Sus scrofa: one gene and its partners. The protein of the gene in region 7 binds, or shares a complex with, the protein of the main gene of each other region. Links are inferred from orthologs where the notes say so. Each region holds a gene or a part of one and is shown on either strand. Other genes may lie near its edges.

Evidence for each region.
Region 1: the proteins of NUP107 (region 7) and NUP205 are in contact, whole or in part, in a cryo-EM structure (PDB 7WB4), measured with the Xenopus laevis proteins. The link is inferred for Sus scrofa from reciprocal best matches to the Homo sapiens genes NUP107 and NUP205. Residues at the interface, in NP_001091312.1 of Xenopus laevis: Gln134, Glu136, Pro189, Tyr282, Tyr283, Gln770, Ser772, Phe773, Thr774; in XP_041443600.1 of Xenopus laevis: Gly1247, Gln1248, Arg1249, Pro1250, Ser1458, Arg1506, Gln1507, Leu1983, His1991, Gln1995.
Region 2: NUP107 (region 7) and NUP153 share a complex: the UniProt entries of both Homo sapiens proteins name them as parts of the nuclear pore complex. The link is inferred for Sus scrofa from reciprocal best matches to the Homo sapiens genes NUP107 and NUP153.
Region 3: NUP107 (region 7) and NUP160 share a complex: the UniProt entries of both Homo sapiens proteins name them as parts of the nuclear pore complex. The link is inferred for Sus scrofa from reciprocal best matches to the Homo sapiens genes NUP107 and NUP160.
Region 4: the proteins of NUP107 (region 7) and NUP133 are in contact, whole or in part, in a crystal structure (PDB 3CQG), measured with the Homo sapiens proteins. The link is inferred for Sus scrofa from reciprocal best matches to the Homo sapiens genes NUP107 and NUP133. Residues at the interface, in NP_065134.1 of Homo sapiens: Leu875, Gln876, Ala878, Asp879, Val881, Ser882, Ser883, Glu884, Tyr889, Lys894, Leu897, Arg898, Leu900, Leu901, Gln902, Arg905, Ser908, Leu909, Leu912, Asp917, Pro918, Leu919, Tyr921; in NP_060700.2 of Homo sapiens: Trp937, Leu938, Ile941, Asn942, Gln944, Leu946, Tyr963, Ala965, Lys966, Lys968, Thr969, Leu970, Gly972, Leu973, Lys975, Leu976, Ala977, Leu979, Ala980, Ser981, Asp982, Ile992, Glu999.
Region 5: NUP107 (region 7) and CETN2 share a complex: the UniProt entries of both Homo sapiens proteins name them as parts of the nuclear pore complex. The link is inferred for Sus scrofa from reciprocal best matches to the Homo sapiens genes NUP107 and CETN2.
Region 6: NUP107 (region 7) and E3 SUMO-protein ligase RanBP2 share a complex: the UniProt entries of both Homo sapiens proteins name them as parts of the nuclear pore complex. The link is inferred for Sus scrofa from reciprocal best matches to the Homo sapiens genes NUP107 and RANBP2.

What each region holds. Positions count from the first base shown.
Region 1 is NC_010460.4:13,774,974-13,779,111, forward strand, and holds the start of NUP205 (nuclear pore complex protein Nup205), read right to left. Parts: upstream 2,801-4,138; 5' UTR 2,559-2,800; coding exon 2,531-2,558; intron 1-2,530. UniProt on the Homo sapiens protein: Plays a role in the nuclear pore complex (NPC) assembly and/or maintenance. May anchor NUP62 and other nucleoporins, but not NUP153 and TPR, to the NPC.
Region 2 is NC_010449.5:13,414,578-13,418,077, reverse strand, and holds part of NUP153 (nuclear pore complex protein Nup153), read left to right. Parts: intron 1-1,602; coding exon 1,603-2,220; intron 2,221-3,500. UniProt on the Homo sapiens protein: Component of the nuclear pore complex (NPC), a complex required for the trafficking across the nuclear envelope. Functions as a scaffolding element in the nuclear phase of the NPC essential for normal nucleocytoplasmic transport of proteins and mRNAs.
Region 3 is NC_010444.4:14,888,556-14,892,055, forward strand, and holds the end of NUP160 (nuclear pore complex protein Nup160), read left to right. Parts: intron 1-538; coding exon 539-643; intron 644-1,772; coding exon 1,773-1,862; 3' UTR 1,863-3,012; downstream 3,013-3,500. UniProt on the Homo sapiens protein: Functions as a component of the nuclear pore complex (NPC). Involved in poly(A)+ RNA transport.
Region 4 is NC_010456.5:60,359,920-60,363,419, reverse strand, and holds part of NUP133 (nuclear pore complex protein Nup133), read right to left. Parts: intron 2,394-3,500; coding exon 2,286-2,393; intron 637-2,285; coding exon 502-636; intron 1-501. UniProt on the Homo sapiens protein: Involved in poly(A)+ RNA transport. Involved in nephrogenesis.
Region 5 is NC_010461.5:123,903,247-123,907,246, forward strand, and holds the start of CETN2 (centrin-2), read right to left. Parts: upstream 2,801-4,000; 5' UTR 2,747-2,800; coding exon 2,648-2,746; intron 1,743-2,647; coding exon 1,584-1,742; intron 1,329-1,583; coding exon 1,200-1,328; intron 163-1,199; coding exon 25-162; intron 1-24. UniProt on the Homo sapiens protein: Plays a fundamental role in microtubule organizing center structure and function. Required for centriole duplication and correct spindle formation. Has a role in regulating cytokinesis and genome stability via cooperation with CALM1 and CCP110.
Region 6 is NC_010445.4:47,549,329-47,552,828, forward strand, and holds part of E3 SUMO-protein ligase RanBP2, read right to left. Parts: intron 808-3,500; coding exon 637-807; intron 49-636; coding exon 1-48. UniProt on the Homo sapiens protein: E3 SUMO-protein ligase which facilitates SUMO1 and SUMO2 conjugation by UBE2I. Involved in transport factor (Ran-GTP, karyopherin)-mediated protein import via the F-G repeat-containing domain which acts as a docking site for substrates.
Region 7 is NC_010447.5:33,024,161-33,027,660, reverse strand, and holds part of NUP107 (nuclear pore complex protein Nup107), read right to left. Parts: intron 2,894-3,500; coding exon 2,834-2,893; intron 2,077-2,833; coding exon 1,931-2,076; intron 1,813-1,930; coding exon 1,764-1,812; intron 1-1,763. UniProt on the Homo sapiens protein: Plays a role in the nuclear pore complex (NPC) assembly and/or maintenance. Required for the assembly of peripheral proteins into the NPC. May anchor NUP62 to the NPC. Involved in nephrogenesis.

The DNA of each region.
Region 1 (4,138 bases), on a different chromosome or scaffold from region 7:
ATTTGTCTTTTTGCTACTGGTTTATTTCACTTAGCAGAATGTCTTCAAGATTCATTCATGCTGCAGCATAGGACAGGGTTTCCTTTTTAAGGCTGAATAACACTCCATTGTATCTACAGACCACATTGTCTATCCATTCATTTGTCAACCGGCATTTGGGTTCCTTGCCTGGACATTTAATTTTTTAAAAATATCGTCCTGGGAGTTCCCGTCGTGGCTCAGTGGTTAACAAATCCAACTAGGAACCATGAGGTTGCGGGTTCAATCCCTGGCCTTGCTCAGTGGGTTAACGATCCAGCATTGCCGTGAGCCGTGGTGTAAGTCGCAGACGAGGCTCTGATCTGGCATTGTTGTGGCTGTGGTGTAGGCCAGCAGCTGCAGCTCCGATTAGACCCCTAGCCTGGGAACAGACAGACCAGCTTGTATCCCACATTGCTGTGGCTGTGGTGTAGAGTGGCAGCTGTAGCTCTGATTCAACCCCTAGCCTGGGAACCTCCATATGGTGCAGATGCTGCCCTAAAAAAAAAAAAAAAAAAAACTCCTGCCTGGGCTTTTAAAAATGCTTCCTGGGAGCTCCTTTGTGGCTCAGGAGGTTAAGGATCCAGTGCTGTCACCTCAGCAGCTCAGCTGGCTACTGTGGCCAGAGTTCAATCCCTCAAAAAGTTTCCTTTCTATGTGACCAATTAAATACCACTGCCAGGAGGCCTCACTATACAATGTATATATGCTTTGAAATTGCTGGCAACTCCTTTTCCTTCAATGATTTATGTTTAATGATACTAATTTAGGATGAGCATGTACTAAAGAAAAGTATATAACCACACGTATAACATGAAAACTTTGTTTTAAGTTTACATCTGGGTTAGGAGGGCAAGACAGCAAGATTAAGGAAGTAACTTCATTACTAAATTCAGGTATATGGAAATTTTATGTAATGAAATGAATTAGCTTGTGCTTCAGTAGGAACACGTTTAAGTATCATCAAAGACTGACTTTGAATCATTAACTGTATAACCCTGAAGAAGTTACTTAACCACTCTATTTCCAAATCTGTAAAATGGAGTATTTAATAGTAGCTACTCCATAGGTGGATAAAGGGGATTAAATGAGATAAAAGATAGCTCCTAGCATGGTGCCTGGGGAAAAGGAGGTGCTCAATAAACATAATCCTTCATTATTACAAAATAATTTATCATAGTGTTTCTGAAATGGTTTGATTTGCAAAAGTCAGATTTAGACACGTTTTCAAGAGTATCAGTCGTGTGAAAACAAACCAGCACACACACACACACAAAACAACAGCATAGGGAGTTCCCATCCCGGCTCAGCTGGTAACCAATCCGACTAGCATTCATGAGGACGTGGGTTCCATCCCTGGCCTGTCAGTGAGTTAAAGGATCCAGTGTTCCTTGAACTGCGGTGTAGGTCTCAGACAAAGCTCCAATCACGCAGGGTCGCTGTGGCTGCGGCACTGGCCGGCAGCCTTAGACCCTATTCGACCCATAGCCTAGAAACGTCCCTAAGCCACAGGTGCGGCCCTAAAAAGACAAAAACAAAAACAAAAAACAACAACAAAAAAAAACCAAAAAACAAAAAAACCAACTGCGTAGAGACAGAAAGAAAAGGCGCCCTAAGAAAGAGCTCTCTTTGAGTGAGATTCTTTACAAGGATTTACCTCACCGATGTGCTCTTAACTGCCCATAAAGCTTAGCATGGCTCAAACAAGACAGTGACATTCAGAGCAGGAAATTGATTTTCAGGAACGCTCCCGCCGCTGCAGCATGTCTGGCAACCTAGACCCGCCCACTAGGCGCCAGCAGAGCACCCCAGGAACCGGGACAATCAAAATGCACCCACTCTTTTAAATGCCCCCCCGCAGGGAGGGGGAGTTCCGCCCCAGATTGAGAACTGCCCAATCCAAATCTTCCAGAGTTTCTTTACAACCTTCTAGATTCTGCCCTGTCCCGAGGATCTACTGTTCCAAAGGTACAGAAGCATCCAGGGACAGGCCACAACTGCAGAGCTGGGAGTCATGGTAGTCCTCGGCCACCTTCAAAATTTCAGGCTTCATAACCAAGGAACCTCGCTTCCTGCATAACCCCCCAACCTCCATGAGCGATCCAGGTGCCTAATACAAAGTACGAGTTTCGGCATGGGCTGAAAAAAATATCTCAGGTCCCCTGACCTCATTGCTGGAAAACTACATATGAAACCTGGATCACGGACACATAATGGGGTGAGTAATGGAAGAGAACAGGCTTGGCCTTGAACTGCGAGAATTCCACGCCGGGTTCCGGTGGACCGAGCTTCCTCGCCTCGACCCTCAAAGCCCAATTCTTAACACCCGCAGAGCCGACGCGCGCCATTCAAACTGGGGAGGAGCGGGAATCTAGGCTCCCGGCTGGAGAGAAGCGGGCACTGTGCACAAATGGGGGACTGGACTCCGAGGAACCCCACAGCCCGGGTCTCTCCCTTAAGAACCGATCAGCACCTTGCCCCACAATTTGCCTTCTGCCCCGGCCGCACCTACCTGAATTTACCGCCAACAGCGTCGCCATGTTGGAAGCGCACTAACGGAGCCCTCCTGCCGCACGGAAGCCCCAGAAAAGGGCGAGGCTGCCTGGGGCGATGCCTGAACATAAAGGTACCACGCTGTCTCCTTCCTACCGCACGCTCTACCGAGCTTGTCTTACAAATACTCGAAAATCTACTCTGAGCCACAGACGTCAATTTTCGCCAGGATTATTCCCATTCAAATAAGGCGAGGGCAACCAGTTCGGCGACGCGAGGTCCTCGTGTTGACGATGTCGTGCAATGCATGCTGGGGAGTGTAGTTTTTTTTTTCTTATAAGGACTAAAGTTGGTTAGGTGGTACAGAAAAAGATTAGTTTCTGAAATGATGCCCACTTATGATATTATGAAAGCCATAAATTCCAATCATTGTCTATATGTCAAATTAAATCGTTGCATTACTCCTTTACTTTGGAGAGTGGAGTGGGGTGAAAGATAGATAAACTTCAAAAAGCCATTTAATTTGTTACAAACTAGATTTTCATTGCATTTCGTGTATATGTATATACCAAGTGATTTGCATCAACATAGTTACATACAGTGAAACAATCATAACCTTTTATTATTAAAATTTCAAGTGTAGGGAGTTCCGGTCATGGCTCAGCGGTTAATGAATCTGACTAGGAACCATGAGGTTGCAGGTTCAATCCCTGGCCTCGTTCAGCAGGTTAAGGATCCGCTGTTGCCCGTGAGCTGTGGTAGGTCGCAGATGAGGCTTGGATCCCACACTGCTGTGGTGTGGCTGTGGCAGGCAGCTGTAGCTCCTATTTGACCTCTAGACTGGGAAGCTCTATATGCCACACCTGTGGCCCTAGAAAAGACAAAAAAAGAAAAAAGAAAAAAATTTTCAAATGTATGCAAAGTTAGAATAATGAATGTCCAGGGAAAAAAAAAAAGGATAATGAATGTCCAGCTTCACTAGCTGGTCAATTCCTCTATCCCACCTCCAACATGAGAAATTACTTGGAAGCAATTTCCAGACAAATCATTTCATAAACACCAAATATTTGTTCACCTGAGCACCCCTAAATAATTGGCCCTCTTTTTTTTACTTGCTAAATTTTAGTTTGCTAATTTCTTTTCTTTTCTTTTCTTTTTAGGGCCACACCAATGGCATATGGAAGTTCCCAGGCTAGGGGTCAAATTTGGGCTACCACTGCCGGCCTACACCACAGCCACAGCAACGCAGTCGTGTCTGCAACCTATACCACAGCTCACCACAACACTGGATCCCCCACCCACTTATCAAGGCCAGGGCTAGAACCCACATCTTCATGGATACTAGTCGGATTCATTTCCACTGTAGAGCAATGGGATCTCCTCGTTCGCTATTTTTAAACTAAAATATAGTCATTACTATGTGCTACCATATGCCAGATATTTATTAAGAATTTTACATTATCTTATAATGTTGATGTTGTTATTATATTATCTCATTCAATCCCTGAAACAATCCTACAATCCTATCAGAGATGTTCCATGTACCTTACAACCTCATTTTATCAACTCTTCCGATATTCCACTGAGATTGGGAGAAAATAGTTTATGTTCCCATTTCACTGTTAGA
Region 2 (3,500 bases), on a different chromosome or scaffold from region 7:
TGGGAACTCCTACCTTAACTCTTTAAATACACCTATGATGGCTAACAAAGTGGTAGGCTCTGGGTTTTTATTGGAAAGCTGTCGCAGTTTTGTTTGAATTAGTGTTTGGTAATTTTGTGTGGTCGTCTGTTTGAATTAGCCTGAGCTTGTGCTCCATTAGGAGATAGTGGACCCTAATTTTTATTTTTTCGTTTTTATTTTTATTCAGCTCCGTCATTATAATTATAATGGAGTTCTTTTTTTTATTAATACAGTGAATTTTATTATATTTATAGTTGCACAGCCATCGTCAAAACCTAATTTTAGAACATTTCCATCCCAAACCCCAAGTTCCCACCTCCCTCCTCCCCATCTGTCCCCTTTGGTAACCATAAGTTTTTCAAAGTCTGTGAGCTTGTTTCTCTTCTGCAAATAAGTTCATTTGTATCCTTTTTTTTGAGTCCACAGGTAAGTGATAGCATATGATGTTTGTCTCTTACTGTCTAACTTCACTTAGTATGATAATCTCTGGTCTACTATTCAGCCATAAAGAAGAATGAAATAATGGCATTAGCAGCAACATGAATGGACCTAGAAATTACTGTATTAAATGGACCCTAATTTTTGTATTTCTGGGTTTTACCAGGTTATTTTAGTACATCTCTGTTGGAATTTTTTTTTTTTTTTTTTTTTTTTTGGTCTTTTTGTCTTTTCTAGGGCCGCACCCGTGGCATATGGAGGTTTCCAGGCTAGGGGTCAAATTGGAGCTGTAGCCAGCCACTGGCCTGCTCCAGAGCCACAGCAATGCCGGATCCAAGCCACATGTGCAACCTACACTACAGCTCACGGCAACGCCAGATCCTTAACTCACTGAACAAGGCCAGGGAATGAACCCAAAACATCGTGTTTCCTAGTCGGATTCGTTAACCACTGAGCCACGACGGGAACTTCTGTTGGGATTTTTAATCGTATTTGTCATTGAACCATTACTCTTTTAAAGCTTTGTATGAATTTAATGTTACTAAAAATGATCCTTATTACTCTGTTGTTGGGAGGGACATCTTTCAAATAATCATACCTGCACAGTTGAGCTGGTTTTACTGAAACTGGATTATGACTGGAAAAAATTCAAAGATGCTCCATACCGGAGGTCATTTGGCATAGGCAGGGGGAGGACGGCAGTGACTGTGCTGCGGTTCAGTGCTGCAGGAAAGGCAAGGAGCAAAATGTGGATGGTGTGTATGTCAGTAAGGAGTACAAATTAAGTCTCAAATTAGTTATACTACAGTAAATAGATTGCTAGAGGAAGATGATCTACTATAAACAGAATGTCTTTTGTAGGTTTTTTAACTAGGCCTGTTGCTTACTGATTATTTGATTAGTACTAGAAATATAGTTCTAGGTGAAAAATACTTCTTAAGTAGTCCACCTTAGATTATGATAGCTCTACAGTAAGGTGTTTTGTGCCAAGAATAATATTTTTATTATGAATGGCTATTACTCTATAGTTATTTATATTATTAATATTTATTAACTATAATAAGTAATAGGCTTTCTGATCAAAACATTAACTAACTTTTCTTCTCCCACTCCACTCTCCCCAACCCCCCCACCCCATTGTAGGTTTCACATCACCGAAGGCAGATTCTCCTGCTGCTCAGCCTACCACCACAAGCCCAATAGTTTATACAAGACCAGCAATAAGTAGCTCTTCTTCCAGTGGAATCGGGTTTGGGGAAAGTTTAAAGGCTGGGCCATCATGGCAGTGTGATACTTGTCTACTCCAGAACAAAGTTGCAGACAACAAATGTGTAGCCTGTCAAGCAACAAAGTTGCCACCAAGAGATACTGCTAAACAGTTGGGAACTGGGACACCAAGTAAAAGTGGCAAACCAACTCTTTCTTCACCAGGGACAGGCTTCGGAGACAAATTTAAACCAGCAGTAGGAACTTGGGATTGTGATACTTGTTTAGTGCAAAATAAACCTGAAGCGATAAAATGTGTAGCTTGTGAAACACCGAAACCTGGAACTGGTGTTAAACGAGTCTTTACGTTGCCAGTGGCTTCAGAAAGTGCTGTAACCATGGCTGCTTCCTCCTCCAGCTGCACTGTAACCACTGGTGCCTTAGGATTTACAGATAAATTCAAAAGGCCCATGGGATCTTGGGAGTGTCCAGTGTGCTGTGTTTCTAATAATGCGGAAGACAATAAATGTGTGTCCTGTATGTCTGAGAAACCAGGTACGTTTATGGCTGTTTGGAATAATTTTGTTCATTACTTTAATAGAACATTTTAATTTATTCTCTGTAAAACAGCTAAGAATAACCTCAATGTTTTAGATGTTTCAGGATGCGCATTTCCTCGTACATTAATTTTTCTAAACTGTCTTGAGAGTAAAATGACTTGTTCGCAACTGAAACTGCATGTCCTATTAGGATAGGCTTTGTGTTAATCAGTCCAGCATTTGCTTTGACCTCTTCTTTGTATGCACTTTTATCAGGAACTTTGGGCTCTTCACCATCATTTCCAAAGTTGGCTAATATGGATGCAAAGGCCTTAGAATGGGAACCATCATTTCCAAAGTTGGCTAATATAGATGCAAAGGCCTTAGAACGGGACAGTCTCTCTCAAACCTTTATGCAGAATGAAATATTACTTTGTCTCTTTTCCTTGAAGTAGAAGTGAGGATGGCTGGTGGTCATTTCCGGGACAGTTTCATTAAAGGGTAGATGGTATTGCTTTATGAGAAGGCTGTGGCTGAATATTCACCCATGTGCCAGACATATTGCAATGATCTTAAAATAGGCAGCCAGAAAAATGGAATTAGGTTTGAGTTCTGTTTCTCTGTTCAATTTTGAAAGAGTTACTGAAGATTTAAATTGATCTTTAATTCATTTGGAAATGACTTTTTGATGTTTTTGTAATGCTTTTATATAATTATTTGGTATAGATATGTAGTAACATGGATACTAAATAAAACATGTTATGAGTATCCTGGGAATTATACTTCCTATTTTTATTGCCTCATTCATGGATGCGTGGTTTTGTGTCTGCAACGGAAAACTCTTGGGTTAATAGCCCAGACCCCTGTCTTAATACAAGGGGTGAGCCTTATTCATAATTCCTCCTAGACCTCTCCACAAGAATGATTTCAGAATCTCTATTCTAAAATAGGTTTCTCTTCCCATCTGGTATTCCTCCTCCTCCCCTTAAAAAGAAAGAAAGAAAGCCCTGATGCATGCAAGAAACCAAAATTAATTGAGTTGATGGGAGAATAAAACTGAGTCAGGAAATTGTTATACAGAAACAAAGGAAGCTCATATATATATGAAAAAACTTCCACTTCATCCTTTAGCTGAACCACCATTATAAGCAGAAAATGATCTGGTCAAACTTGTAATTTTGGTAAATCACTCGGTGGCTTTTTGGAGGATAGATTTGAAGGCAACAAAATTTGGAGACCAGAGGACAGATTAGGAAGTTATATCAGTTATATAGGTCAAGATCCTAGTGATGTGTA
Region 3 (3,500 bases), on a different chromosome or scaffold from region 7:
GTGGCATAGGCTGGCAGCTACAACTGATTCCACCCCTAGCCTGGGAACCTCCATATGCCAAAGGAGTGGCCCTAAACACACACACACACACACACACACACACACAAAAGATATGAATTTAAAATGTATTTTAAAATACATTTGATTTGGAGTTCCCAGTGTGGCACAGTGGGTTAAGATTCTGACTGTAGTTGCTGCAGAGGCCCAGGTTTGATCCCCAGCTCCAGGGCAGTGAGTAAAAGGAAATCGCAGCTACAGCTCAAATCCAGTCCATGGCCTGGGAACTTCCATATGGGGTGCAGCCTTAAAAAAAATACATTTGATTTAACTAAGAAAAGGACCAGTTCCTTGGTAAAAAAAGACTGGGGGGTGGGGAGAGGTGTTTCCGCTTGTGTACCTGTGTGTATGCATGCATACACAATTTCTGGTTGTGAAAAAAAGGTAAGGCATTTCATGTTATTGAGTCCTACGATAACTAGCTACCCAGAAGAATTGGTGCACTTTTCAGATTTCCTTCAAATGATATGTTTGCTTTCAGTTTCCACTGTCTGCAACAGCTCCAATGGTGTGGCTCCCATATTCTTCTATTGATCAACTTCTCCAGGCTCTGGGAGAGAACAGCGCCAACAGTCACAACATTGCAGTGAGTAAATCCTTTCCTGAGCCATCTTCGCAAGCCCTTGCACTAGCAATTACACCCTCAAGCTTGCTCTTCTGGTTCTCAAGGATTAAGGGGAGGGCAGAAGCCATTTATTGCCCTTCACATGCTGCCCCAATCTCTTTATGAAATGATTAATTAAATCAGATATAACAGCTCTGATTTGGGGAAGGTAGCTAATAAAGTTTTTATTAAAAATACTGGGGTGGGGAGTTCCCGTCATGGCGCAGTGGAAACAGATTCGACTAGGAAACATGAGGTTGTGGGTTTGATCCCTGGCCTCGCTTAGCCAGTCAGGGATCCGGCACTGCCATGAGCTGTGGTGTAGGTCACAGATGCAGCTCAGATCTGGTCTTGCTATGGTTGTGGCGTAGGCTGGCAGCTACAGCTCCAATTAGACTCCTAGCCTAGGAACCTCCACATGCCTTGGATGCGGCCCTAAAAAGACAAAAGACAAAAACAAAATACTGGTGTGGGTACCTCCCCTTGTGGCTCAGCAGGTTAAGAATCCAGCTGGTATCCAAGAGGATGTGGGTTCAACCCCTGGCCTTGCTCAGTGGGTTAAGAATCCGGTGTTGTCGCAAGCTGTGCCATAGGTTGCAGCAGCAACTTGGATCTGGCATTGCTATGGTGTGGGCCGGTGCTGTTGCTCTGATTCAACCCCTAGCCCAGGAACTTCCATATGCTGAAGGTGTGGCCCTAGAAATAAAAAAATAATTAAAAGTACTGGTGTGAGAGTTCCCTGATTGCCTAACAGTTAAAGATTCAGCTTTGTCACTGCTGTGGGTCCAGTTCAATCCCTGGCCCTGGAACCTCTGCATGTTATAGGCTCAGTCATAATTAATTAATTAATTTACAAATACTGGTGTCTTTTGCATATTTAGAAAATTCATTAGGAAAACAGTGTCAGAGTATTGCGTATAACAGAAAAGTCTGGCTTTATCAGTGGAGTCACAAAGCAGACTTCTGTACTGAATTGAATGGTGATTAAATGAAGCACAGCCTAACAACTTCATCAAGGGAAATCTGGTTGACAAAGTCAGAGTGATTGATAACTTTAGTCTTTTTCAGTCCTTGACCTATTCTTTAATGATTCCCGTCTTTTCTCCTATAGCTGTCCCAGAAAATACTTGACAAATTGGAGGACTACCAGCAAAAAGTTGATAAGGCAACAAGGGATTTATTACATCGTCGGCTCTTGTGATCTGGATGGTTGCCCAGCCTTTGTAACCGCTTGGTGCCTCTTAGGGCTTAAGACTTTATTTACCCTACAGGAAACCTGTACTCCAGGCCAATTTTTATACCAGTAAATGATGTGTGCGACAGTCAAGTCTGCATTCTGCACAAGAGAGAAGGGGAGATGAGTCACAGGACCTGTGCTTGCTGGTGGTGCTAACACACAATTTCTGGTTTTCAAACTTGGTCTCAAACAGCTGCTTTTGTATATGATTCACAAGCTTTTTTAGAGTTTATATTTTTTTAAACTACCGAAGACATTCTTTATCTGCAAATTAAAACCCACTTTCACTGTCCAAAATAGCTGATGGTTGTTGGTTTGTTGTAGCTGACCACCAAAAGCAGTCACTGCAAATCCTTTCATTCTTCCTATCACTTTTTGTATTTCAATGGAATTATTTTGGTCCAGAACTGACATGTATTTTCTGTATTGCAAACAGAGGCTAATGATTTTGCATACTCTTCATTATTTATTGTGGAATTTTTTTATGATCTTCAATAAAGTATTAAATAATTTGCCTAGATTAAGCCTAACACGATGACCAGCTGTTAAGGAAGATATCTTTATCTTGGAAGGTCCCATCCTAGCTCAGTGGTTAACAAACCCGACTAGTATATCCATGAGGACACGGGTTTGATCCCTGGCCTTGCTCAGTACATTAAAGGATGCAGCATTGCCGTGAGCTCTGGTGTAGGTTGCAGACAAGGCTTGGATCCGACATTGCTGTGGCTGTGGTGTAGGCCAGCAGCTACAACTCTGATTCAGCCCCTTGCCTGGGAACCTCCATATGCCAAGGGTGCAGACCTAAAGAAGCCAAAAAAAAAAAGATAACTTGAATCTGGTTCTGAGGCTAAAGTGAAGTAAACTCTTAGCTAAGAAAAACTTGAAAATTTATCATCTATAAAAGTAAGAGATTTTCAAAGTAAATTCCATTAACTTCTATGATTTATAATTATCAAGCTGGACTTGATCATACAGGTAATCTAATAATGTATTGGACCAAAATATTAACTTTCCTGGTCAGATTCAGAGGCATTCGTGATCACAAATTTGGGGGAAAGTGACAAAATAAACTCTTTAATTTTATTCTGTATATTAAAACTTATCTTTTAAGGAAGCAATCTGTACAGTACTTGCTTGTATGCCCTTTGACCTGTCTTGAGGTTTTCATAATTATTTAATTTTTATACTGTCAATGCCACATTTACATTATATATTTTAAATAACAATGTGAGTTTCCCTGTGGTACTATTATAGATAGATATTAAGGTATATGATTCTGTTTTCATTTTAGCTCTGCCATGATTATTGTGAAGTGTTTGGTACAATTAGTACTGCAAGACCCCTTGCCCTCCCAGCTCCAGAAACCTGTGGCCTCCAATATAGCAAGAAATAGACTTTGACTTGTATACACATGTATAACCAAGAGAAAGCTTTCACAAAATGTGTATCCTCACTTACTGTGTTTTCATGAGTGACTAATGGATCATAACCTGAAAAATGTCAAACCCTATTGCAGCTATTTCTGGAGGACAAGAAATAGCTCAAAACTGGCCCTGTTCCAAAAACCTATTCATTTGCATTGTTGATCAAAGAAGTGGTTTT
Region 4 (3,500 bases), on a different chromosome or scaffold from region 7:
TAGGAAAATCATCTGTACGTTAAGTCCAAAAGAACACTGTTGTTTTATTAAAATAACTTACTTATGAATCCATTCACTTACTATTATTAATTCTACACAGAAAAACTTTGTTGAAGTTTTTTTGATTACAAGTTTCTTAAATTCTGACTTTTAAGCTATAAGTTCACCATAAGGTAGGTTCAACGAATCAAGCATCAGATTCTATTTCTTTAGTAAACCTGCAGAGTATGTATTAACAAACCACTCCTCATGTCAAAATTTCTAAGTCACTCCCATAAGGTGTTTCTGAAAGAAATGAAAACCACCGGCTACTATGCACTACTGATATTTCAGAGACCCATGAGCATGGCTTCCCCTTGTCTAAGCATTCAAATCCTAGATCCTTACCTTTCTTGCTTTTTTACTCCCACCAGCCCCACAGGCCTGTGTGATCTGTTCAAATCCCCCTTAGAGGCCTCATCATGGCTTTCCAGTAAATGTAAAAGAATGCCCATCATATACCTGCACGGCTGTTAGGAAGCTGTAAGTCTTATCCCCTCCTGAGTCCACGGTCGTCTCTGTGTAGGTGTCCTCACTAGCAAGGCTTGGCCAGTAGCGGATGGATCCTTCTCTGGTGGCCACCATGACAGCAACAGCCTCAAAACAAGATCTCGAACTCAACAATCACAAGAAAAGAAGGACCCCAAATTGGAAGTCTGACAACACCAATGTAAAGAAAACAGGATGACGTACTACTAATTACCAGAAATCAGAAATAAAAACTCCTTTTCTTTGTTAATTATCATACAGTAAAATCGATGTTTCTGCCCTTTAGTTTCACGATTCTGCAAATTTTTCTTTTTTGGCCACACCAAGGCATATGGAAATTCCCAGGCCAGGGACTGAATCTGAGCCGCAGCTGTGATCTACACCACAGCTGAGGCAACACCAGATCCTTAACCCACTGCATGGGGCCAAGGATAGTATCTGCACCTCCAGAGCAACCTGAGCCACCACATTCGGATCCCTAACCCACTGGGCCACAGGGGGAACTCCTCACAGATCTATGGATTTTACAACACAGATAGACCCATAACTACCACTATGGTGAGGATACAGAGCAGTTCCACCAGCACCCAGAACTCCTTGATGCTTTCCCTATAGTCACACCTTCCCATCCTAACCCCTGGCCATCACTACTTCCATCATCCTTGTCCTATCTTTCTGAGGATGCCAAACCAACCCATACAGAATATAACCTTCTGACACTGGCTTATCTCACTGAGCATGATGTCGCTGAGATTTATCCAGGCTGTAGATAATCAACAGCTCATACCTCTTCAGTGTCATCCACACTACAGACAAATCAGTTCATCCATCCATTCACTTGCTAAAGGATGTCTGGATTGCTTCCACCTTTGCCCATCACAAGTAAAGCTGCTATGACATGAGTGTACTATTTCTGCATGAACATAAGCTTTAATGTCCCTAGAATAAATGGCCAGGAATGGAATTGCTGGGTCATATGGCAAGGCAAGCATATTTTAACTGTGTAAGAAAGAGAAAATCAAGTGGTTGCACCATTCTGCATTTCCGACAGCAACAACATGAAGTTCCAGTTGCTCCTTGTCAGCACTTGGAAGTGTCAGTACTTATTTTAGCCACTGCACTAGATGTGCAGTGATGTCTCACTTGTTCAATTTTCATTTCACTGATGGCCAGTGATGTGAACATCTTTTCATCTGCTTATTTGGCATCCTTATATCCTCTTTGGCAACGTGTCAGTTCAAGTCTTGTGCCCTGTTTTTTTTTTTTTTTTTTTTTTTTTCCTTTATATGGCCACGTGCACAGCATATGGAAGTTCCCAGGCTAGGGGTTGAATCTGAGCTACAGCTGCCGGCCCATACCACAGCCACAGCAACACCAGATCTGAGCCGCATCTGCAACATACACACACAGCTCACAGCAATGCCAGATCCTTAATCCACTTAGAGAGGCCAGGGATCACACCCACATCCTCATGGATACTAGTCAGGTTCATTTCTGCTGAGCCACAATGGGAACTCCCACTCTGTCTTGATTCCTGTGGCTTTATGTTTCAGAGTCTGGCTGGATGATTCCTCCAACTTTAGAATTCCCTTACTTTAAAAACATGTACTTTGGAGTTCTCCAGTGACCAAGAAGCCAAGGATCCGGCATTGTCACTGCTGTGGCTTGGGTTTGATCCCTGGTTGGGGAACTTCTGCATGCCACAGGCACACCCCACCCTGCAAAAAAGTACTTCAATAAGCATGTAAGTCACCTACCTGAGTAGAATGTGATTCACCTGAGGCAGCAGAATACGAGAGAGCCACCAAGTCAGCACTCCAGTGGAAATCACTTGGTGGCAGCTGAAGTTCTTTGCAAACAGACAGCTATGGGACAAAATCTTTCATGTCAAATCCAACTTTTTGAATATCCACCTGACGTCACTATTTCCTCTGTTTGCATATTTTAGAGTTTAATTCATTGCTGGAAATACCATTCTACAAATATTCTTCTTCTCAAATCTTTTTGATCAGGCTTTTATCATCAATTTCAGTAATTTAAAAATATATATATTAAGTGATACAAAATCAGGAACACTTAACAGCTAGACCAGACCCTTAATAACAACCAGTTCAATCTCTCCCCAAACCAAAAAGTCTATTTGTTGAAAGAAATGATTCTATAGGCTTCCCACAGAATTTTCCCAGTCTAATCTTGATTTGTTTACTTGACATTTAAAATGAGCATGACTAGAGTAAGTACACCAAGCCATCCAGAAAATATTCCTAGACTCAGCAAAATATTGGGCTTCCTCTGCTAATTCAGGATGCCCCCCAACAGGACCTCTCTCTCACCCAGGCTCCTAACTGCAAATATGGTATTCTAAGCAGCAGCAGGAGAGGGGCCAGTGGACAGAATAGTTGAGGTGAGCAGGAGACTGAGTCCCAGTGGAACAAGGGCACAGTGAGCACAAGAGGGCAGAGAGTATGCCTGATCCAGAGCAGACAAAACAAGAGGTTGCTGAGAATAAAGGCGTGGACATACCAATGACCACCCACCGTGTGAGAAGTTGACAACTGAAAGGTAAACTAGTGTAAAAACTGGTATCATTTTCCTATTTTACTAAGCATTATTCAGTAGATGCAGTGAAACATATTCCTATCTTCATAGAAATCAACTCAGTTCATTAACTTGCGTGGATGTGGATGACATTTAGTCTGAGACTTCATCAGACAGACTGCTTAGCACGACACTCATTAAAGATTTCAAGGTCTCGGAGTTCCCGTTGTGGCTCAGCAGAAATGAACCTGACTAGCATCATGAGGACGCAAGTTCAATCCCTGGCCTCGCTCAGTGGGTTAAGGATCTGGTGTTGCCATGAGCTGCGGTATAGGTCGCAGACATGGCTTGGATCTAGCGTTGCTGTGGTGTAAGCCACTGGCTACAACTCTGATTTGACCCCGAGCCTGGGAACCTCCATATGCCCCGGAGGC
Region 5 (4,000 bases), on a different chromosome or scaffold from region 7:
GCTCCAGGCTGACACATCACACACCTGCAGCTCCTCGTCAGTGAGGTTCTCGCCCAACTCCTTGGCCACGCGTTTTAGATTCTTGAACGATATCTTCCCAGTTTCATCGTCATCGAAGAGCTTGAAAGCTTTCAGGATTTCTTCTTTGGTATCCTTCTCAGACTTAACAAGTAGAACATAAAAAACACATGAGTAAAGAGACTCATAATTACCTGTGTCCCACAACCCTAGCACCATCCCCTCTGCCCTGCCACAACAGCACCACATGGCCTCATGACATTGGTGCTAGGTCACAGAAGATCAAAAATCAACCAGCGTAGAGAGAGGGGACAAACATGAAATTGGTACAATCCCAGAGGCTAAGAAGGAAATATAAAGGCTTGCACTTAAAACATTTTCTATACAAATGGAAGAGAAAAGTAGACTGCTTTTTAAAATACAGCAGCAGGAGTTCCCGTCGTGGCGCAGTGGTTAACGAATCCGACTAGGAACCATGAGGTTGCGGGTTCGGTCCCTGCCCTTGCTCAGTGGGTTAACGATCCGGCGTTGCCGTGAGCTGTGGTGTAGGTTGCAGACGCGGCTCGGATGCCACGTTGCTGTGGCTCTGGTGTAGGCCGGTGGCTACAGCTCCGATTCAACCCCTAGCCTGGGAACCTCCATATGCCGCGGGAGCGGCCCAAGAAATAGCAACAACAACAACAACAACAACAAAAGACAAAAAAATAAATAAATAAATAAAATACAGCAGCAGATGATGGGATTAAGTTTAGAGGAAATTCCACTGCTTAAGCTGGGATCCTCTTGGGGGCAGAGGGGAGCAGGGAGGAAAGAGAAGGCGATTTCACTTATGAGAGCACCAAGAGTTACTAGAATCCCAGGTACTCTGACAGAGGAAAAGAGGAAAAGCTTCCTGAACTCTTAACTTAGTCCCTGAAGAAAAATATGGGTGTGATTAGATGATTTCAAAGCAACAGGATTATTAGAGTGGGAAGAGACCTGTGCCTTGGGAAGCACAGCTGAAGCACTGATGGAGCTACTTTTCCACGGGCCAGTAGAATGTACATGAGCCACACTGAGGAGGAGCCAGGAGGCCAATGAAAGAGAAAGGGACCAATGGGTGAAAAGACACTTTCATATCTAGACTCAAATCTGTCCACCATTATTGGTGGAAAATACACCCATCATCTTAGCTAACCTACCATTTTCTGAGTCATCACAGTTAAAAAGTCACTGAAGTTCATTTTTCCTGTCCCTTCCTTATCGATTTCACTTATCATTTTCTTGATCTCTTCTTTCTTGGGTTCAAAGCCCAGTGCCCTCATTGCCACCTGCAATGAAAACAGGATCATCTCAATATGTACATCTAAACCCAGGGGCAAAAAATGACAGCATTGAGAGCATTAAGCCAGTATCTGACACAATCATGTTAAAATAATTAGGAAACACTATAACATTAAGCAAATTGATATTTGCACTCAATTTTGTTTAATAATACTTGAGGTAAATAAAGACAGAAAAACAGCACAGAAGAGAAAGAGGCAGAGAAAAGTCAAGGCAGCAGAGCAGGAATGTACAGGGCTTGCCTTAAGTTCTTTAACATCTATTGTCCCAGTTCCATCAGCATCAAAGAGATCAAAAGCTTCTCGGATTTCCTGTTTCTGCTCTTCAGTAAGCTCTGGTTTAGGGCTCATCCTTTTTCGCTGGGCAGCAGATGCCACGTTTGTCTTCTTAAAGTTAGAGGCCTTTATATGTTTCACAAACAGAGAAGCACGGTATTATGTAATAGGGTACATATTTTACATAAATATGTTACAATCCTATCTACTTTTAAAATAGTTTATACCAACGAATTCCAAAACTAACAGGAGAAATAACAGCGTTTAGTGAAAAGAGCAAATACTCTTTCTCTGCACCTCTATCCCTCCCTCTTCTTTACTACTGTTTCTAGAAGGAGATCCTTTGTTCTTTTGGATATCTCTTATTTGAAATCATCTAAAAAGAGAGCTGGCCAAGGAGCTGACTCTGGATAAATGTACAGATAATCAGCTCTCTCTGAATTTGGGACCCTAAATCTAAAAATGTCCTTAGAACGCTATTCTGCTTCGCTCTAAGTTATAAGATTTTCTGATTACTTCTAATTTGGCCAAATACTAAGTTAAGATGTATATTCTGTCAATATCGAATAATAAAACTCAATCCCCTCGGCACATCTGAGCCTTCCCCAAGAAGGTCAAAGCGTTTCCGAAGTCCCAATATTTAACATTTTAAATGCACATTAACAATCAAACACAATAAACTTCCCCTAGGCTCTGGGTAGAAACTTTGGTAGAGGCGGCCAGGAGGCCAGAGTCTGGAAGTGGTCGGGGTGTGCGAAGAGCCCGAGTCTGTTTTGACCAGAGGTGGTCACCGAAGGAGCCAGGGGAGCCCGAAGGACGGATAGGGGCCAGCTGTGGCTTGAATGGGACGCAGCGGCTAATCGCAGGCCCAGCAGGGCGGCCAGGATCTCTACCCTACCCTTCCGGGAAGCGCTCAGAGGAAAGAGTGCGCCAAAGCCGAGAACCGCGCAGGAGAGACGGCGGGGCCAGGCCAAGGCCTGTGAAGGGCTCAGCTTCTGGACACAGGGTTCGAAAGGGTAACAAGCACTCACCATCGCCGATGGACTCCGCTTCCCGTTGTTACGGCAACGGACGTACACACCGACTCGGCGCCCTTCCCACCGCCCCCTGCGCGCGGCCTTGCACCCCATTGGAGGACAGATGACTGCAGCTCCCCATTGGCACAGTGCTGGAGTGGGTGGGACTAACCCGACGGAGGCCTGACGCAGGGCGCAGGGCATTGTGGCGCGGCCTGGCCTTATTGGGCAGGATTACACCGCGAGCGCTGATTGGCCGAGCCAGCACCAATCCCTTTGGTGGAGGCGCCTCGGCTGATAGTAGCCTCATAAGGGTGGGGAGAAACAGGTGGTTGCTGGCGCCTGGAGCTCTGAGGCTGTAGGCTACCGATGCGCTGAGGCCGGCCAGGGAGGCACCTACCAACAGGTAAGGGTTGCGACCTCGCTCTTGGGTTGGCGATAGGACTGGAAAGGCAAGGAATTGGGTGGGGCCTTTCGCGGGGCTCGAAAAGGTAACAAGCCCTCACCCGGTCGGGGACTTTCTGGTCTGGACTAAGACTGAGTTAGGGTCAGAGGGGCCAGAGAAGACCGTGACCTTGCGTGTTGGAGCAGAGGATGTATTTACGGGGCAACTGAGACGGAGAAGGAAAGGCAGAGGCCGGGCGTTATCACAGAAATTCGGACGTCTGGGACTTAGAAGCTGAATTCATCCACCTGAGGCTCTTTCTTTGGGCGTGTCCGTCCCACCCCAAATAGATAACAAGATAGGATCACTTTAGTTCTCACCTGGCTAAAAGCAGCTCGGGAAGATGAGCTGGGGGCCTAGGAACGGCCTTTGAAGGGAGTGAAGGAGATTTGAGTGAGCATAAAGGGGACAGATCATCAAAATATACTCATTTTGACAACCAAACACTCAAGGCGGATAGTGAGGAGTATTCCAGGTGGGGACACTTCATGAGCAAAGTCACAGAGCCGTTTTGGAAAGGTGAGGCTTGCTCAGAGAATTACAAGGGGGCGTGTGCCACGGTAACAGATGAAAGGGAGCTGGAACAGTGGCCCTGGAAGTCCAAGGTCTGCCTTCCTTAGCCAGCCCAGTGTAAGGGCACTTCTTGCCTCTCAGCCCTTACCTGCTTCACCTCTGGGCATTGGCACAGCATTTTGGGAAGCAGGGGACAGAGCATAAGTTTCTCAGGCTGAAGAAAGCCTGAGATTTATTGACATTCATTAAGCGAAAATGTTTGCCGAACTTCTGCCCTTTACCCTCTTCCTCTTTGAGCACAAGCCGAGTCCAAAACCTTTTGGTCCTATTTGACTCTTCCTGCCCTGGCCCCACTAACTAGCCTCCACTTTCTGTCAGCTTCCTCCTTAAAGGGTGTTTCTTTTCTCTTT
Region 6 (3,500 bases), on a different chromosome or scaffold from region 7:
GATATAGTTTTCCGTTAAGTTTCTTGACAGCTGTGTCGAAATCTTCATCTTAAAGTATAATATATTTTATTAAATAAATGAATTTCTAGTGTATTTCAGGAGATTTTCTAGCCAGGAATCAAGGGTTCCTCTCCAACTTCCCACTTTCCCTTGCTCCTACATCCAAATAGCAACCAATTTTGCCAATTCTATACAAACGCCTCTCTGCTCTTGTCTGAGCTGCTCCACTACTTTAGCTCCTCTTCCTTCTCCACTTTCCACAACCCAGTCCTCTACCCCATGGCCCAACTGTCCTACTCAAATTACTCCGAGCACAAGATTCCTCTGCTTGAAAACTCTGACACAGCCCACAAAGCAAGCCCCAGTCAGAGGCTATCTCTGCCTCACCACCATCCCACTCCTCTCATTCCCCAGGGAAATTAGGGTTGTCTTCAGTTCCCTCAGAACGCCTGCCCTGTTCAGAGCAGCACTCCAGGAAAACCTCTTTCAATCACTACATGCGCTGATTATTCACACATGCATTCACCTGCAAGTAGAGCAGGGGTGGGCTCTCGGAAGCAGGCTTGAAAGGATTTCATCACCCTGTCCACTAAGATGGAGCATGAACAGAATGCTTTAAAGCAAGAAAAAGCTTACCATCCTCTTCCTCTTCGCTGACGTATCCTGGCCGGTTCTTATAGCAGAAGAAAGTGGGAGGAAGCTGAAGTCTGATTGCAAGAGCTTTTTGCTCAGGAGTTGGGGTCAACTCATATACAATGAGAACATCATCATCCGAGGGAAGGTCTTCAGGCTTTTTCTTCTCTTCCGCTGTAAGGTAAATCCAAAAAAAAGTTGTCAAAGATATTAAGTATTAGTTAGCATCAACACTCTAAAAATAAGTATCATAGAACATAATATTCAGGTTAAAAGAGCATGCTGACAAGAGTTCCTTGGTGGCGTAGCAGTTTAGGGTTCTGAGTTTCCAGTGCTGTGGCATGGGTTCCATCCCTGGCCTTGGAACTTCCACATAATTCAGTGTGGACACTGCTCATGATAAAATGTGAATTAGAATTAGAAGCCTGATTTAATGCTCTATTAAAAATGCTTAGTACACATAGAATCTACTTAAAAAACAAGCAAAAAGTCCTGCTTTTACTTACTGATCATTGAAAAAAATTAACAGCTATAAATTCAAAACATAGATAAAAAGTGCTGCCATAACCAGATGTGGCATACTAAGCGGTTTAGCCAAATATCCATGCATTTGCGACAACTGAAAAAAAAAATTCAATCATAAGAAAAGATTAGTATAAATATAAAACTAACACAAAGCCAACCTTGATGAGAGCCTTAACAACTGCCACGGAAGGCAAGTGATTAGAGTTAACATCCCATTTTTCATATTTCCAAGCCGGGTAATAGATTAAATTAAATTAAAATGGGTGTCTTCTAGGTAAGAACCTAAGACAATTTGTATTAGCTGAAACACCAACAAAAAGACAAAAGATAGAGAGAAAAGTAACTCTTCATAGAATATGCTCTGGCCTACAAAGGGCGTCTGGCTAAAGGAATGAGAAAGTATGCAAGCCATGAAGTTTGCATCACCTTGGCACTGTCCAATCTGGCAGGCCGGCCACCCCTGACAGGGAAGCACTTACGCTGTGGCCAGTTCAAACTGACATGTGCTACAAGTGTAAAAATACACACTGGGTTTTGAAGACTCAGTTTAAAGAAAAAAAAAAAAGGAAAATATCTCATTTTAAATTTTTTATACTGATTAGAAGTTGAAATGATATTCTGGACATAATGGGTTAAGCTTTATTAAAATTAATTTCATCTCTTTTTTCACCTGTTTTCTTTCATTTTTTAGTGTGACTACTAGAAATTTTTTAATTACTACAAGCAATTTGTACCTTATTTCTACTGGATGACCTGATCCAGAAAATAGCTTTCTTGCAATTTTTAACTTGCCTTTTTTCACCTTTTTTTCTTTTTTTTTTTAGGGCTGCACTGGCAGCACATGGAATTTTCTAAAGCTAGGGGTTGAATTGGAGCTGCAGCTGCTGGCCTACGCCATAGCCACAGCAACACCAGATCTGTGCTCCATCTGTAACCTATGTCACAGTTTGAGGCAATGCCAGATCCTTAACCACTGAGCAAGGCCAGGGATCAAACCCGCATCTTCATGGATTCTTTTTTTTTTTTTTTTTGTCTTTTTGTCTTTTTGTCTTGTTGTTGTTGTTGTTGTTGCTATTTCTTGGGCCGCTTCCGCGGCATATGGAGGTTCCCAGGCTAGGGGTTGAATCGGAGCTGTAGCCACCGGCCTACGCCAGAGCCACAGCAACGCGGGATCCGAGCCGCGTCTGCAACCTACACCACAGCTCACGGCAACGCCGGATCGTTAACCCACTGAGCAAGGGCAGGGACCGAACCCGCAACCTCATGGTTCCTAGTCGGATTCGTTAACCACTGCGCCACGACGGGAACTCCATCTTCATGGATTCTAGTCTGGTTCTTAACCTGCTGAGCCACAACAGGAACTCCTTACTTTTCTTTTTACGCCACACCTCCAGTTCATGGAAGTTTCTGGGCTAGAGGTCGAAATCAGAGCTGCAGCTGAGGCCTATGCCACAGTCACAGCAACACTGGATCCAAGTCAAATCTGCAACCTATGCCAAAGCTTGTGACGCCAGATCCTTAACCCACTGAGCAAGGTCAGGGGTCAAACCCACATCCCTCAGGGACACTATGTCGGGTTCTCAACTCACTGAGCCACAACGGGAACTCCAAATAACTTTTTTTTTCTTTTTTTTTTTTTTTTTTAATGGCTATGCCTGTGGCATATGGAAGTTCCCGGGCCAGGGACTGAATCTGACCCACAGCTGCAACCTACACCACAGATGGGGCAACGCCAGTTCCTCAACCCAAAGTGCCAGGCCAGGGATCAAACCCCATGCCTCTGCAGCAAACCAAGCTGCTGAGCTGCTGCAAGCTGGATTCTTGACCCACTGTGCCACAGCAGGAACTCCTCACTCTTCTTCCTCACAAAATCTTAGCATCAATTCCTAGCGGGAGATCAAAAGAACACTCTAAGACAAAGATTCTTGTTTATCAGATAGCATCACTGGGCCTCAGTTTCCTCATGCCTCAGGTCTTCATTTCTAAGGTCTCTGAAACTGTGACATTCTCAGTCTTCAAACAGAATAGGGCTCTCTGTCCTGCAGCAGTAAGTTGTAAATTTGCTTTCAGACCAGGCACTCTTCACCTTGGGCCCATGAAGTTTGTGCAGAAGTGTGTAACCTTTACAGAAAAAAATTCACACTTTTTACATAATTTTTCAATGACTGCATCCCAAAGAATAAAGGCTGATAGCTGCTGTGGCTAGGAGTACTTGGTGTACTTTAAGACTGAGGGTCCTAGGAGTTCCCATTGTGGCTCAGTTGGTTAAGAACCTGCCTAATATCCATGAGGATGCAGGTTCGATCCCTGGCCTCACTCAGTGGGTTAAGGATCTGGCATTG
Region 7 (3,500 bases):
TGCAAGGAGATGGCCACATTAATAAGTTACTTATGGGAATATGAATTAATTGCTACAACTAGGGAATTAACTTAATGACATATAACCTTTAACCCAGAAACCCTGCTTTCAGGAAACATATCCTAGAGAGATAGGACTGGTAGATAAGCATAAACCAGAGTAAATAAACAAGAATGTTCACTGTGGTGCTGGAAAAATCTAAATATCACCAAAAAGGGAATGGTTTTTAAAAAAGGATACATCATTCTACAGACCATTATATACCTACTTAAAAAAATAAGTTAGGGAGTTCCCGTCGTGGCGCAGTGGTTAACGAATCCGACTAGGAACCATGAGGTTGCGGGTTCGGTCCCTGCCCTTGCTCAGTGGGTTAAGGATCCGGCGTTGCCGTGAGCTGTGGTGTAGGTTGCAGATGCGGCTCGGATCCCGCGTTGCTGTGGCTCTGGTGTAGGCCGGTGGCTACAGCTCCGATTCAACCCCTAGCCTGGGAACCTCCATATGCCACAGGAGCGGCCCAAGAAATAGCAAAAAGACCAAAAATAAATAAATAAATAAATAAGTTAGGTTAAGTTAAAACTATATCCACTAACTTAGAGAGACAATCATTAAATGGGGAAAAAAACTGTAAAGGTAGTGTAGGTAGAAGGATGTAAAAAACAACAAAAACCAAAAATCCTATATGGACTATCTACATTATTTACATGTAGTGGTGAGAGTATGGAGAAGGACATGGAAGGCAATGTTTTATCATCTCAGTGAATGTGAATAATCACAGGCGGTTGGGAGGAACTTCTAAAGATCTTACTTATGTATCTTTAGATTATTTTTTTAATTTTTAATTTTGTATTAAAGTATAGTTGATTTTCAGCGTTGTGCCAATTTCTGCTATGCAGCAAAGTGACCCAGTCATACATACATATACATTCCCCTCCTCCCTTCCACGCTTCCTTCCTTCCTTTCTTGTGCTTTTTAGGGCCGAATATGAGGCATATGGAAGTTCCCGGACTAGGTGTCGAATTGGAGCTGCTGGCCTACACCACAGCCACAGCAATGCTGTACGCTTAACCCACTGAGTGAGGCCAAGGATCAAACCTGCATCCTCATGGATACTAGCAGGGTTCATTACTGCTAAGCCACAATAGGAACTCCTACATTCCTTTTCTTACATTATTTCCCATCATGGTCTAGCCCAAGTGACTGGATTACTCTGGTGATTTTTAAAGTCTAAATTTTGACATCTAGGAAAAGAAAGCCTTGTTAATTTTCCTTTATATATTTTTCAAAAGAAAAAGAATAGATTCTTTTGCCAAGACCTAGGGAGTTGGCTGGGGTGAGGAATACATGGCCGCCTGGCTCCATCAAGGCTCGAACACATATTGAGACATATATATGTCTATTTATTATTGAGTTGTTTTATATGTGTGTATGTATATGTATATCAGAGTAATACATATAAATTTGGACAAATGCATAATGTCATGTATTCACATAAACACATACACACACACACGAAAGGGATAAATTAGCTTATACCCACACCACATATTTAGATGAAACCAATCCTAAACCAAAGAAACAGAAATGATGTATCATTTAATATATTATTACGTTTCTTCCTTTTAAAGAATATACTCCATTTGGATAAAAGGTGAGGAAAAGAGAATATAACAAGATTTCACATACTTGTGCATCTTTCAGCCACAGTGCATGACAATGCAACACTTGGTTTCCTATTCCATTTATCATAAAATATTAATATTTACCTTTTTATCAGTAGCTTGAAGTTCTTCAAAAACCTTTTCTAAGGTCCAGCTTCGAAAGGAAGAACAAGGGAAGTGATCAATAACAATAATATGAACAAGGGCTACAAAATAAAACTTCACAGAGCATATTACAAATGATGATGATGAAAACAAACCAATAAACTCACTTTGTTTCCAAATATTCTCTAGGGAGTTCTTCAGTTTCATCCAGAGTCATTACTGATGTTCGGATCTCCTGTTCTACCAGACTGTCCACCATCACCCGAAAGTAGGCCCACACTGTATCCTCCCAGGTGTCACAGACAGGAAGCAGCTTTCCCCCAATTTCAAACAGAAACACACAGATACAGTCAACAGAAGAGACAGGAATAGCAGTTACACCCATTGCTCTGGACCATAAAGGCACCTAATGACCTAAAACATTAGGAATGTAAATTATCACAGCTCCCCCCACCACCACATCTTCTAAGATGTTTGAATTATTAAGATTTCTTCCATAATGAGTTCACAACAGCATTCATTTCCCATGCTGATATAAGATGGTATTTCAACTAATTTTGAAAATATCCCTCAAAATAGCTGCTGTAAAATGTAGCATAGTCACTGTGCTTTATGCAGTACACTTCTGGATAAAGCTATGGGTACCATAAGTCATCAAGAAATAAGTATTGTAATTAAATTTACAATGCTAGAAGAAACTGAAATCAGATTTCATGTATTAAAAACATCAAGTGGTACATGGAATACATCAATTTAAGCAGCTCAAGTCACTCTATTTGATGATTATCTCTATCATTGCTGTTCTTTTTTTTTTTTTTGGCCACACCCACAGCAAATGGTAGGTCCCAAGCCAGGGATCCCAAGCAGTGACCTGAGCTGCTGCAGTGACCTGAGCTGCTTCAGTGACAAGGCTGGATCCTTAACCTGCTGTGCAACAAGGGAACTCCTATCATTGCTATTCTTAGAAAGCAGCTTAACCTTACATGATTACAATATACTTTATTAGAGTATTTTGTGTATCTGATTTCATTCTATAGGGGAAAAAAGAATTATTAAAATAGACCACATACCTGCTTGAGATTCCCACTTAAAGCTGCATAAATTGCTCTCTCGTATCTATTAAAATGTTCCTGAAATACAATGAATATAAAAAAAGTTGAGCTTTGTTTTTCTTAGCATGTGAACTTTTTTCATAATGGAGAATTTTGCAGTGTCTTTTGAACTGAACTTATTTATGCACCTGACAGTTTTTAAACTTTTTAAAAGACCTAGTGGGGTAATAAAAAGGAAAGACCTCTTAGTTTGATATAGTTAACGTTGAATTCTAAATTTCAAATACAAGGTGAAAGCAGACCCAACTCTAACGGATGCTTTGATTATTTATTAGAGTCAAATTTTATTCCATATAGAACCTCTACAGATGTCTTCCCCTATTTAAGGTTCTAAATACCTAATACTACCTGATAATCTCCTAAGAATAACATCAAAACAAGGCACTTGGAGCTGCCATGCATCAGTTTGCATCAAATTCCTAAGGGGAACTAATTAAATTCATCAAAATTTTTCATTTTACTTCTGGATTCTATTAATGGCATTTCATTTTTTCATCGTCCAAACAAGAGACTTCAGAGACTCTCACTATATAACTGAGTGTTCCTTGGCTTTCTGTTTCCAATCTCTGGTCCTAACCATTTTTGTTCCTTTCTTTTCCACTCTCAGTACTAACCTGGGGCAGGC